Linked DNA regions of Yarrowia lipolytica. The protein of the gene in region 2 interacts with the protein of the main gene of each other region in a pairwise test. Links are inferred from orthologs where the notes say so. Each region holds a gene or a part of one and is shown on either strand. Other genes may lie near its edges. The genes, in order: YALI1_F09456g and YALI1_F39885g.

The links.
Region 1: the proteins of YALI1_F39885g (region 2) and YALI1_F09456g interact in binary tests that used the Saccharomyces cerevisiae proteins (3 or more experiments, as listed by UniProt). The link is inferred for Yarrowia lipolytica from reciprocal best matches to the Saccharomyces cerevisiae genes TAF1 and TAF4.

Annotation. Positions count from the first base shown.
Region 1 is NC_090775.1:943,747-947,469, forward strand, and holds YALI1_F09456g (uncharacterized protein), read left to right. Parts: upstream 1-1,947; coding exon 1,948-3,045; downstream 3,046-3,723. Other genes in the region: YALI1_F09481g (uncharacterized protein), read right to left, coding at 3,311-3,723. UniProt on the Saccharomyces cerevisiae protein: Functions as a component of the DNA-binding general transcription factor complex TFIID. Binding of TFIID to a promoter (with or without TATA element) is the initial step in pre-initiation complex (PIC) formation.
Region 2 is NC_090775.1:3,984,583-3,990,219, forward strand, and holds YALI1_F39885g (uncharacterized protein), read right to left. Parts: upstream 4,008-5,637; coding exon 765-4,007; downstream 1-764. Other genes in the region: YALI1_F39844g (uncharacterized protein), read left to right, coding at 1-576; YALI1_F39891g (uncharacterized protein), read left to right, coding at 4,595-5,637. UniProt on the Saccharomyces cerevisiae protein: Functions as a component of the DNA-binding general transcription factor complex TFIID. Binding of TFIID to a promoter (with or without TATA element) is the initial step in pre-initiation complex (PIC) formation.

The DNA.
Region 1 (3,723 bases), about 3.0 Mb from region 2:
TGATGTGGTATTGCTCCTATATCTCCGACCCCCCTCTCTCATGCATTGCATCTTGCTGTGGCGCATTATCTGTGTGACCCCGATAAGACGTTACCCGGAAGTGGATTTGGGGCATGTCATGTGAAATGGAGCAGACCAGGCCTGGGCGAGAGTGTGTCATATGACCAAAGGGGCATGAGGAGGAGGTGGGTAGTTAAATTGGTTGTATTTACAGTTATGTCGGGAGCTGAAGGGTGGTTTTGGAGGCGGGTGTTTTTGTTTGTATGTTTGAGTAAATTTTGGCATTAAAAATGAACAAAAATTACGTAAAATAAACAAAAATCAAGGGAAGTAGATATAGTTGTCATTGACGTATTAAATGGGCATTGGCGGATTATAATGGACTTGGACGGATTAGAATGATCATTTCACGGCTACAAGTACCGTAATGCTTGATATTTAACAACAGCTGATTCTCTTCTATGAGCTATAGTAGCTACTGTATGTACAGTACATACTGTACTTACTGGTATGTTATAGTAAGAGCTTCTGGTACATAAGTACATTATGTATTCGTAGTCTATAGCGTCAATATCCTACTCGTACTGTACTTACTGTACTGTAACTACGATACTATGAGCTAACTATCAGCAGACCCTTAGAGGAATACTTATAGCTAAGGCAAGTGACAAGAATGCTCATATATTGACCAATAGTATTCAATACAGAGAAGATACAGACAATGTACCAGACGAGATCTCTTGTATGATTCAGTTAATGTCCCATAATTGGATGGTTCATAGCAGACCCATCTGGGAAGAAGATATCTGAGGGCTGATACCAGGACCTCATCATGACCAATGATAGCAGGGAGTATGTTGTGAACCAAGTCAAGTTCTGCTCCACATTGTAATCATTCACACAGCATCTACGAGTACATACCGTGTACTGTACTTCCACAGTCACCGCTGTTCCGATAAAGCTAGGAATAGACCAGGAGATGGTAAGTATAAGTATGTATGTTTTGTATGTATGTACATACTGGACAGTATGTACCAGTTCTATCAGTTACTACAGTAATTAGTCCAATCCACTCAATCACACTGGTGGTCATTTTTGGTAACCGTTGATCACTTGAAGTTGGCCATCTCACTGACCTATAGCCCGATTATCATGATGTACTCATGCCACCATGAAAGCCCAAGTAGGTACAGTCTTGCTCTCTCACTTCCACCAGTGGTATCAAAGATGAGTCACTCTTGACAATACCGCCGTTCGAAGACTTCAAGGAAGACTACGTGGTCATCCGAGGTATCGACACATGTCTCCACCAGTGTCTGTGGTATCTCACTGGGTTATCAACTATAGCTACGTTCAGTACATTACATACTTATGATGGTAAGACGTTGAACATTACGTCATGTTCACCAGCAAAGTGATATGGGAGGATGGTAGGTTACGGAAGTATATATTAGAGAAGGTTCTGGTGGCTCCAATTTGAGGGGTCCTGCAACAGTACTTTGAACCAATAAAATGGGCTGTAATTTTTCATAATTACTGATAATACCACCAAGCAGAGGTTTATCAAAAAACTGAGTGAAAATATTATCACAATGACATTCTAAGACCTCTCATAGACATACCCCCATCCTACATACAAAGAAAACCTTGATTGCTGTACAGTGTGGTATTATGTATTGTACGATACGATTCTAATAAATTGCTGTGTGAGGGAGTGCTCTAGGGATGTCTCATTGAGTATTAGCAAATCTTTTTGGGCACAAGAGCACGTTTGTTCCGTCATTCTGCTCAATCCGCCTATATAAAGCAGTTCTCTTCTCCCTCCTCTCACCGTCTCCAACATGACACAGCACCACCTCACATACTCCCAACCTGTGAAACTCTGTCCTGCCCTGTGGTGCAGGAGCAGACCAAATCACTGTGTCTAACAGCTCCTCATCCAACAACATGTCTCAACGCGACTCAGCTTCGCCACATCCGCAGGCCTCGCCGGGGATGGCCAAGCAGGAGCCCGTGCTGTTGCCCGGCCGGGAAAAGTCGCCGCCCCAGCAGCTCCAGTTCCACCAGGAGTTCCCCAACAACAGTTTCAAGCGCACTTCCACGTCGGCCATGACGCCACCAATCTCCAAAAAGCCGAAAATGGCGCCGCAGACCTTCAACAACTACAATGCGTCTAACTATGGCCAGTTCCAGGCGTCACCCATGAACTCGGGCGCAAATACACCCATTCCACAGCAACAAAACATGCCGCAGAACCAACAGACACAGAACCAACAACAGGGAGGCCCCGGCGGACAGGGACCCGGACAACCACTCGATCCTGATCAGCTCAGTGACGTCATTTCGGCGGTGGGTCTTGATCTCAAGCAGGAGGAGGCGCTGTTGCAACAGGGAGTGCCCCAGGCCGGCTACGGCATGCAGCAGCAGCAATACGGATACAGACAGCAGGGACACGCGCTGCTGGACCAGAAACGGGTGGCGTACACGGTCCGACAGCTAAGCCAGGAAGCTGGCCTGCGATTCAACAGTGATAGAGCCGGAGAAACGGCTTTGCTCATCTCGCACGCCTGTGAGGAGTGGCTCAACCAGATTCTGACTCAGGCGCTGGTTCTGTCGCGACATAGACGGCGATCGAGAAACTCGGTGCACAGTAGCCTGTCACGTGCGCTCAAGGGTATCGCTGTCAAAGACAAGGAGCGGGAGGACAAGCGAGCAGAGCGCAAGAACCTGCTGGGTCTGGATCACGCGGAACCCGAGTCTGCAGCCAACCCCGAGGACCAGCAGCACAAGGCTGCCAACATGACGGCCGCCATGATGTCTTCGGGCAAAAAGAAGTACTCGTGGATGGCAGGAGGCGTGGGAGCCAGTGCTGGAGGAATGCGAATGGGCCAGACAGGCGGAGGCAGAGGCGACTCGGCGATAAAGACACGAGAAGCCAAGGAAGAACCCGGAGTGGCCCTCAGAGATTTGCTGGGAGCCCTAGAGAAGGAGAGAGCAGGAGTGGAAAAGGCCATCGTGAAGGGCTATGCCAAGTTGAGAAATTAACCGTCAGAGGTGAGTGGTTGGTTTTGTAAAAGAGAAGTATAGCTGAAGGGCGACCATCAAAATCATTAGTGTGGATTCATTGAAGTGATTGGAGGAGGAGGATAGCTTCATCGGATAGGCTCCGTGGTTGAAAGAGGTAAAGCTTTCCAGTATGTTATGGAAAAACTTATTGACAGCAGCATAAGAGCTAGGATACAGGTATAGCAAATAACGAAATGTATATTATATGATATGATGGATGGGATTGTACAGGTACAAGTACGCGTCATAGAAACCATCTGTAGGCGAAATAGATGACTGTCCAGTTTATGACGGCGGAACCAAATATGGTCCCTATGACAATTGCATCTCTCCAGGTGAACTTCCGTTTGGGGGCCTCAAACGTCTGCTCATGTACTTTTTGTAAAATCCCTTTTCTAACGTCGAACACATACTTTTTGGCACTTCCCATGACCATGACGTACCGAGTTCCCCACCAGGGGTCCCTGTGACTCCCTGTTGATCTAAAAAGATGCTTGATCCACGAGGAGTGCCGTGCTGGAGAGCTGTTCAAGTTGGCCTGTAGACAGTAGTATTTCTTCTTACCAAAGAAGGCAAACAGTCCGTCGTAAACCACAGCGTGTCGCAGGTCATTCAGACCAATGTCGATGGGCACAAAGTACCGGTCTTTGAAAAGAT
Region 2 (5,637 bases):
ACTGACTACAAATTGATCGTAACTGGCCACTCTCTAGGAGCTGTCACTGCTCTATTCATGGGCATCAACCTGAAGAATCTTGGATATGATCCAACGCTAATCAACTATGGGCAGCCTCGACTTGGAAACAAGGCTTTTGCAGACTACGTGGACGCTCTGTTCTTTAAGCAAGGAGACGACGGACTTACCATCAACCCCGAAAGACGGATGTACCGAGTCACTCACTGGAACGACTTCTTTGTTGGATGGCCCGCTGGTTATTCACATACTCTGGGAGAAGTTTACATCAGTGATCCCACAGGTATTAATGCTCCTATTGAAGATGTCTATTCCTGCGCTGGACCAGAGAATAATCAGTGTCACCATGGATCATTCAATCTTCTAGAACGACTCAACATTCTCAAGAACCATTGCGGTTATCTCAATTGGATTTTCTACTGTGCTATCAATGTGGACAAGAGAGAGATGATGATTGATCCTCCCCGAGTTGGCAAGAGAGTTGAGCATTGGAGTGGCAAGTTTTCTGATGTTGAATCGACAGAAGGCCTGATGTATGAGGCCATTTATCCTATGTAATTGAATCACACCAACCTTTTCCGAGCCATTCTCAAACACTTATACTTAATGAGTATTGTTAATACTGTATGTGCAGTACATACTGTAGCACCATAACCGACCACTGTTTTCTCTTGTTTGTACGATTTTTTTACGTCTTTACCTGTGCAATAATACATAATAATTTACTATTCCTCCATGCTATACAACTACAGGTTGGCAGGTCCCTCGAGTTGGTTGTACATGGGACAACTCTTGTTGGTTCGAATGTGGCCATATGCACCACAGTTCTTGCACTGTCGCGGACCCTTGCCTTTGCCGACACCCTTGCCTGAAGGGGGAGGAGTGTCGGTGCCGAGGTTGATTGTGTTGAGACCCTGCTTCTGGGCCTGTCGCTGCTTTCGTCGCTCGCCCTTCTTTCGCAGATCCTCCAGCCGCTCCTCCAGCAGCCGCTTGTTTCGCTTGTTGGCCTCCTCGTCGTTGGTGGGGTCTAAGTCGTCGAGTGTTAGCTTGGCCTCGTCCATCAGCTTTCGTCGTCGAATGTATGCTCGAATGACACTGGGGTCCTTGATGGTCTCGACCTTTCGCTGGATGATACCGTGCTCGTCCTTGACCATTCGCGTGATTCGCAGCACCTTGTTGCGCTGCTGCATGGCCGAGTCGCCTGACATGAGCGACATGTTATCATCGTCGGGGAAGGCTGCGCTAGTGAAACCAGGCGTAGACACCCGCTCTTGTTGTTCTCGCTGCTCCTCAGCATCGGCCCATTTTGAATCTTCGTCGTTCTCTTCAGGTACCTTGGTGTTGCTGAGAGCTCGACACTGGGCATACCAGATTCGGCTGATCTCATCGTCGTATGCACGCTGCTGGTGGGCCACGTTGTACTTGTGTCCGCCAAACTTGCTCTTGTCAAGCTTCTCATTGACAGACTCACCAGCGGCCTGAAAACCACCCTTCATGGAAGTCTTGAGGAATGAGAAACCCTCGCCTCGACCAGAAGGATCACCCTCGCCATGCAGCTGCAGCATGGCCTTGCCCTGGGTAGCGTTGATGAAGTTTCTGGTCAGGTTCCATGGAGCAGACTGCTCCTCCAGAGAAAGACCAGACTCCTCGCCATTCTCATGGTCGCTCTCAATGTCGTCAGTTCGACCATATCCAGCATCCTCAAGGTTCTGAACACCAACCTGCATGGCCTCCAAGAGAGTGATGTCCTCGGGTGTGATCATGGTTCTGATGCCGTCCTCGCCAGGAAGAGTATCGGTAGGCTTGACCTTCCAGTAACCCTGATCCTCACCTGTTCGCTGATACTCCATAAACTCCTTGAGCCTCTGTCGGTTTTGAGTGTCAATCTGATCAGGGAAATGTTCGGCGATATCCTTCACGTTGATTCTATGATAAGGTGATGCGTTTAGCACTCGATAGACAATCATCTTGAGCCGGTTTTTGGAAGCCGTGGTTACCTTTCGAGAGTGTGGCCCGGGTACGTCAGTCACGGGGTATGTTTGACCGACAGTGAAGACATGTGGAATATTTCTCAGAAAGTACTTTTGGCCAGCCCCAGTCACATCGCCTCCAGTTGATCGGATCATAAGAAAATCTGTGTCACGTGGTGTATGCTTGAATACGGGGGCTCGGATCATCTTGTTGTACAGAGTAGGCACAATCTTACCCGGCTCGACGAATCCAAAGTTCCAAAAGGGAGACTTGTCCTGGACCGACAGAACATGTGTCTCTCCAACGGGGAGCTTAGGTCGGGAAGTATCCTCAGGAGAAGCTTTTCTGTAATAGTTGATCATCTTAGAGCCCATTCCGTAGTTGGAGAGGGTCATGGGGAATTGCTCAGCGTACTCCATGAGGAAGTACTGAGCAGAGTCACCCAACGACAAGTCCGTAGTCTTGGCCAAAAGATCCTTGATAGGCTTTCCCCTGTCTCGCTTCTTCTTTCGGATCTTCATTCGCGAAAAGTGAACAGTAGTGTTGGGTTTCACCACAAATGATGGCCGATGGAACGAACGAGCCTGAGGCTTCGAGATTCGCACTTTGTAGAATGGACTTTGCAGTCGGAGAGCTGGCATGGAGTGATCGATAGACAGATTGCCAATAGTGGCTCGTACCTTGCTCTGTGTGTTCTCCTTGAGCATATCGTAGGCTCGGTCGTTACTGAGGTTAAATCTGTTTCGAAGCTGTAGTTCGGTGGAGGGAATGGCAGGAGTCACATTCTTCGATACACGACCATCTGTGTTGATGAACAGTAGGTTGGGGTCGTTCATATCGAGGTTGACCTTCTTCACCTGACTGAGAGCATCGCCTTCAAACAAGGCCTCGTCGTTCCAGGCCTCTTCGTTTCTGTGCACGCCGAGCTGTGGAACAACCTCTTTTTGTTCCTCCTTGACCTTTTCGCCCTCGCAATCCATATCCACGTCTCCATCCCCATCATCCTCATCTCCCCACGTGATCTTCCAGTCAGTAATGTCGAAATGCAGCTGCTGGTCTGTTGCTGATTGTGTGGTTCTGCTTTCTCGGGCCAGTTCCTGCTTATCGTCCCCCGTCTCGGCCTCGGTGACTGTTACAACACCCGGTCGCCGCTTAGCATGGTCCACCCACACTGTTCCTCGTGTCATCTTACGCTCATCTGGCGCCACCTCCAGCTTAGTCTTTGTGGGGACACACGGACGAGCAGTGTTAGGCTTGGGCAGACTCAGAACAGCAAACTTGTTGTAGAAGAGCGAGTTCATCTTCATAGGCTTGCCCTTTTGGAACCCGGGGAAGTACATTGCAAGCATGTCAAGATCAGCCTGACGCGCCATCTGTGCAATTTCCTCCAGATTGAGCTCCTGGATGTTCATGTGTTGGATGTCATCAAATCCAGAGGCGTCCATCTTGTCGGCAGGCCCTAACTTTCCCAGTTCGCCTAGCTCATCTGCGTCAAGCTTCATGTCCAGCCCGTCGCCTCCAGCAGCCTCCATCTCCATCTCTTCGTCTGACTCTCCAGGTTCACCGGCATGCACGACATGGTTGTTGCTGTTGGCATTGTTATTCAACATTCCAGCATGGACAACACCACCATCATCGTACTCGTCCATCACAGGCAGCTCGTCCATTTCGTTGCCTCCCCAGCTCTGGCTCCAATGTTCGTCATCTCCCAGATCAAATCCTCCAAGCTCATCCTCGCCAATGTGGAACTGGAAGCCACCCAGGCTATCGTTCCCAGACATGGATAGACCAGCTTCCTCCTCGACAATCATCTCCTCATCCTCCTCAATCACGTTGTTTCCGGTTGCTTCCTCCTCTTCGGGCAGCTCATCATCTGCCAGCTCGTCTTCGTCCTCGAAATCGATGGCGTCTGCGGAGTGTTTGATGGCATCTGCACCATCAAGCGATGGGACAACACCTCCAACGTTGGTAGGGTCGCCACCGAGTGCTCTGGCCCAGTCAGCGTCTTCGTCGGCCATTTCTGTTTGTGTAACTCTTGCACGGGGTGTAAATGTAGCTGCATATTGGATTTAAGATTCAGGGCTAGGGTTGATTACATAAGGCTAGCGGATGAAGAGCATGCTATCTAGTGATAGATTGGATGATGACCAAATCCAGACGACAAGGAAATATTTCTAAATGGTGATAAAGGGAAATGGCCATTCGATTTTGGACAGTTTGGTACATTGCCACGAGTCTTTATTGAGTCAATAGCCTCTCGAGGTGTATATAAAAGTCAGCGCATGCACTGACCCGAACACATACTGTATAACGTGTATGATTAAATCCTAACATTTATATAACCAACATACCGACTACTTGTAGATTCTATATTACTTTGTACACTAAGCACTTTGTGAGTCATGTCTTTGTTACAAGTATTGGTTGCTGATCATCATTATCCTCACTCCTGTTGTTGTTATGAAGTGTGGTTTTTATAGTTGGGTTTCTTCTCCTGCATATCAAGATCTTTACGCGCTGGGTCAAGCTTAACAAGTTCAGAAGAACTCATTCACTACTCAATTTCGATTTTTTGGCACAACGAGCTGTCTTTTGGACTCGCCACATGGAAGACAGATTACAGCAAAGGGTACGGGAGACTTTGTCACTACCGAAAGTCTTCGACCGGCTGGACTCCTATTTTCTATTCTTTTCGGCATGGTACAGACGCGTTTCCAAGGACTACACATTACAAGAACCGGAGGAATATGAGAAGGAGCGTCAGAATGCCGCCTTTATCGTCGACAATGATTCAAACACGGGCGAGGAGGTTGTGAGAGTGACCAGAGATCACGTGCCTTGGGTGGTGCTTGCTGCTCACTTCATGACGGGGTGCTCTACGAATGCTACTTACGTGAGCGAACTGCTAGAGAAACGACTCAACATTGGAAGAATTCCGAAGGAGATGGTTGAGAGTATCATTGCATGGAGTATATCTGGCATGCATATGGACGAGAAGCTGGCATTGCAAGCTCTGGAGGCACGGCTTGACGAGACGGAGAGTGGCAGGGCCTTGACCCAAAGCTTGAAGGATAAGATGCAGAGGACGATTTGGGACAAGGTGTTTCAGCATCATCTGAAGAATTCGCAATTAAACCCAATCTGCGAACGACCCGGAGTTGTGTTTTTTGCCCTGTTTCCTTTGTCTAACGCGAATGGATATTCTCTGCTCTTCATCGATTATCTCACCAAGGCTGCCACATTCAGCATACCTTGCAAACCCAAAAACGCGCTGGACCTGATCAGGGACATTCGGGTCGCCGTTTTGGATCATTTAAGAGCATACGGACAGCCCTTGGCCCTAATTTGCATGAACCCCTGTCGAGGAACGAACGGATGGCTTGGAAGCGTACTTCAGAAGGCATTCAAGCACATGGTACCTTTCGATACGGTAGTGTCCATCTACGAACTTCGGGCCCGCTCACTTCCATCCCGAATAGCTGAAGTTTTCGAAGAAGCAACTACAGCTGTGAGAGACCCCAATGATACCTTGAAAAATAGCCAACCATTCTGTTTCCTCAGAACCCAGAACACCCACGAGACTTGGGAGCATCTCGTGTTGGGCCATTTTATGACTCTTCAGAATCGCTCCTTTGTAAGACATCCTCG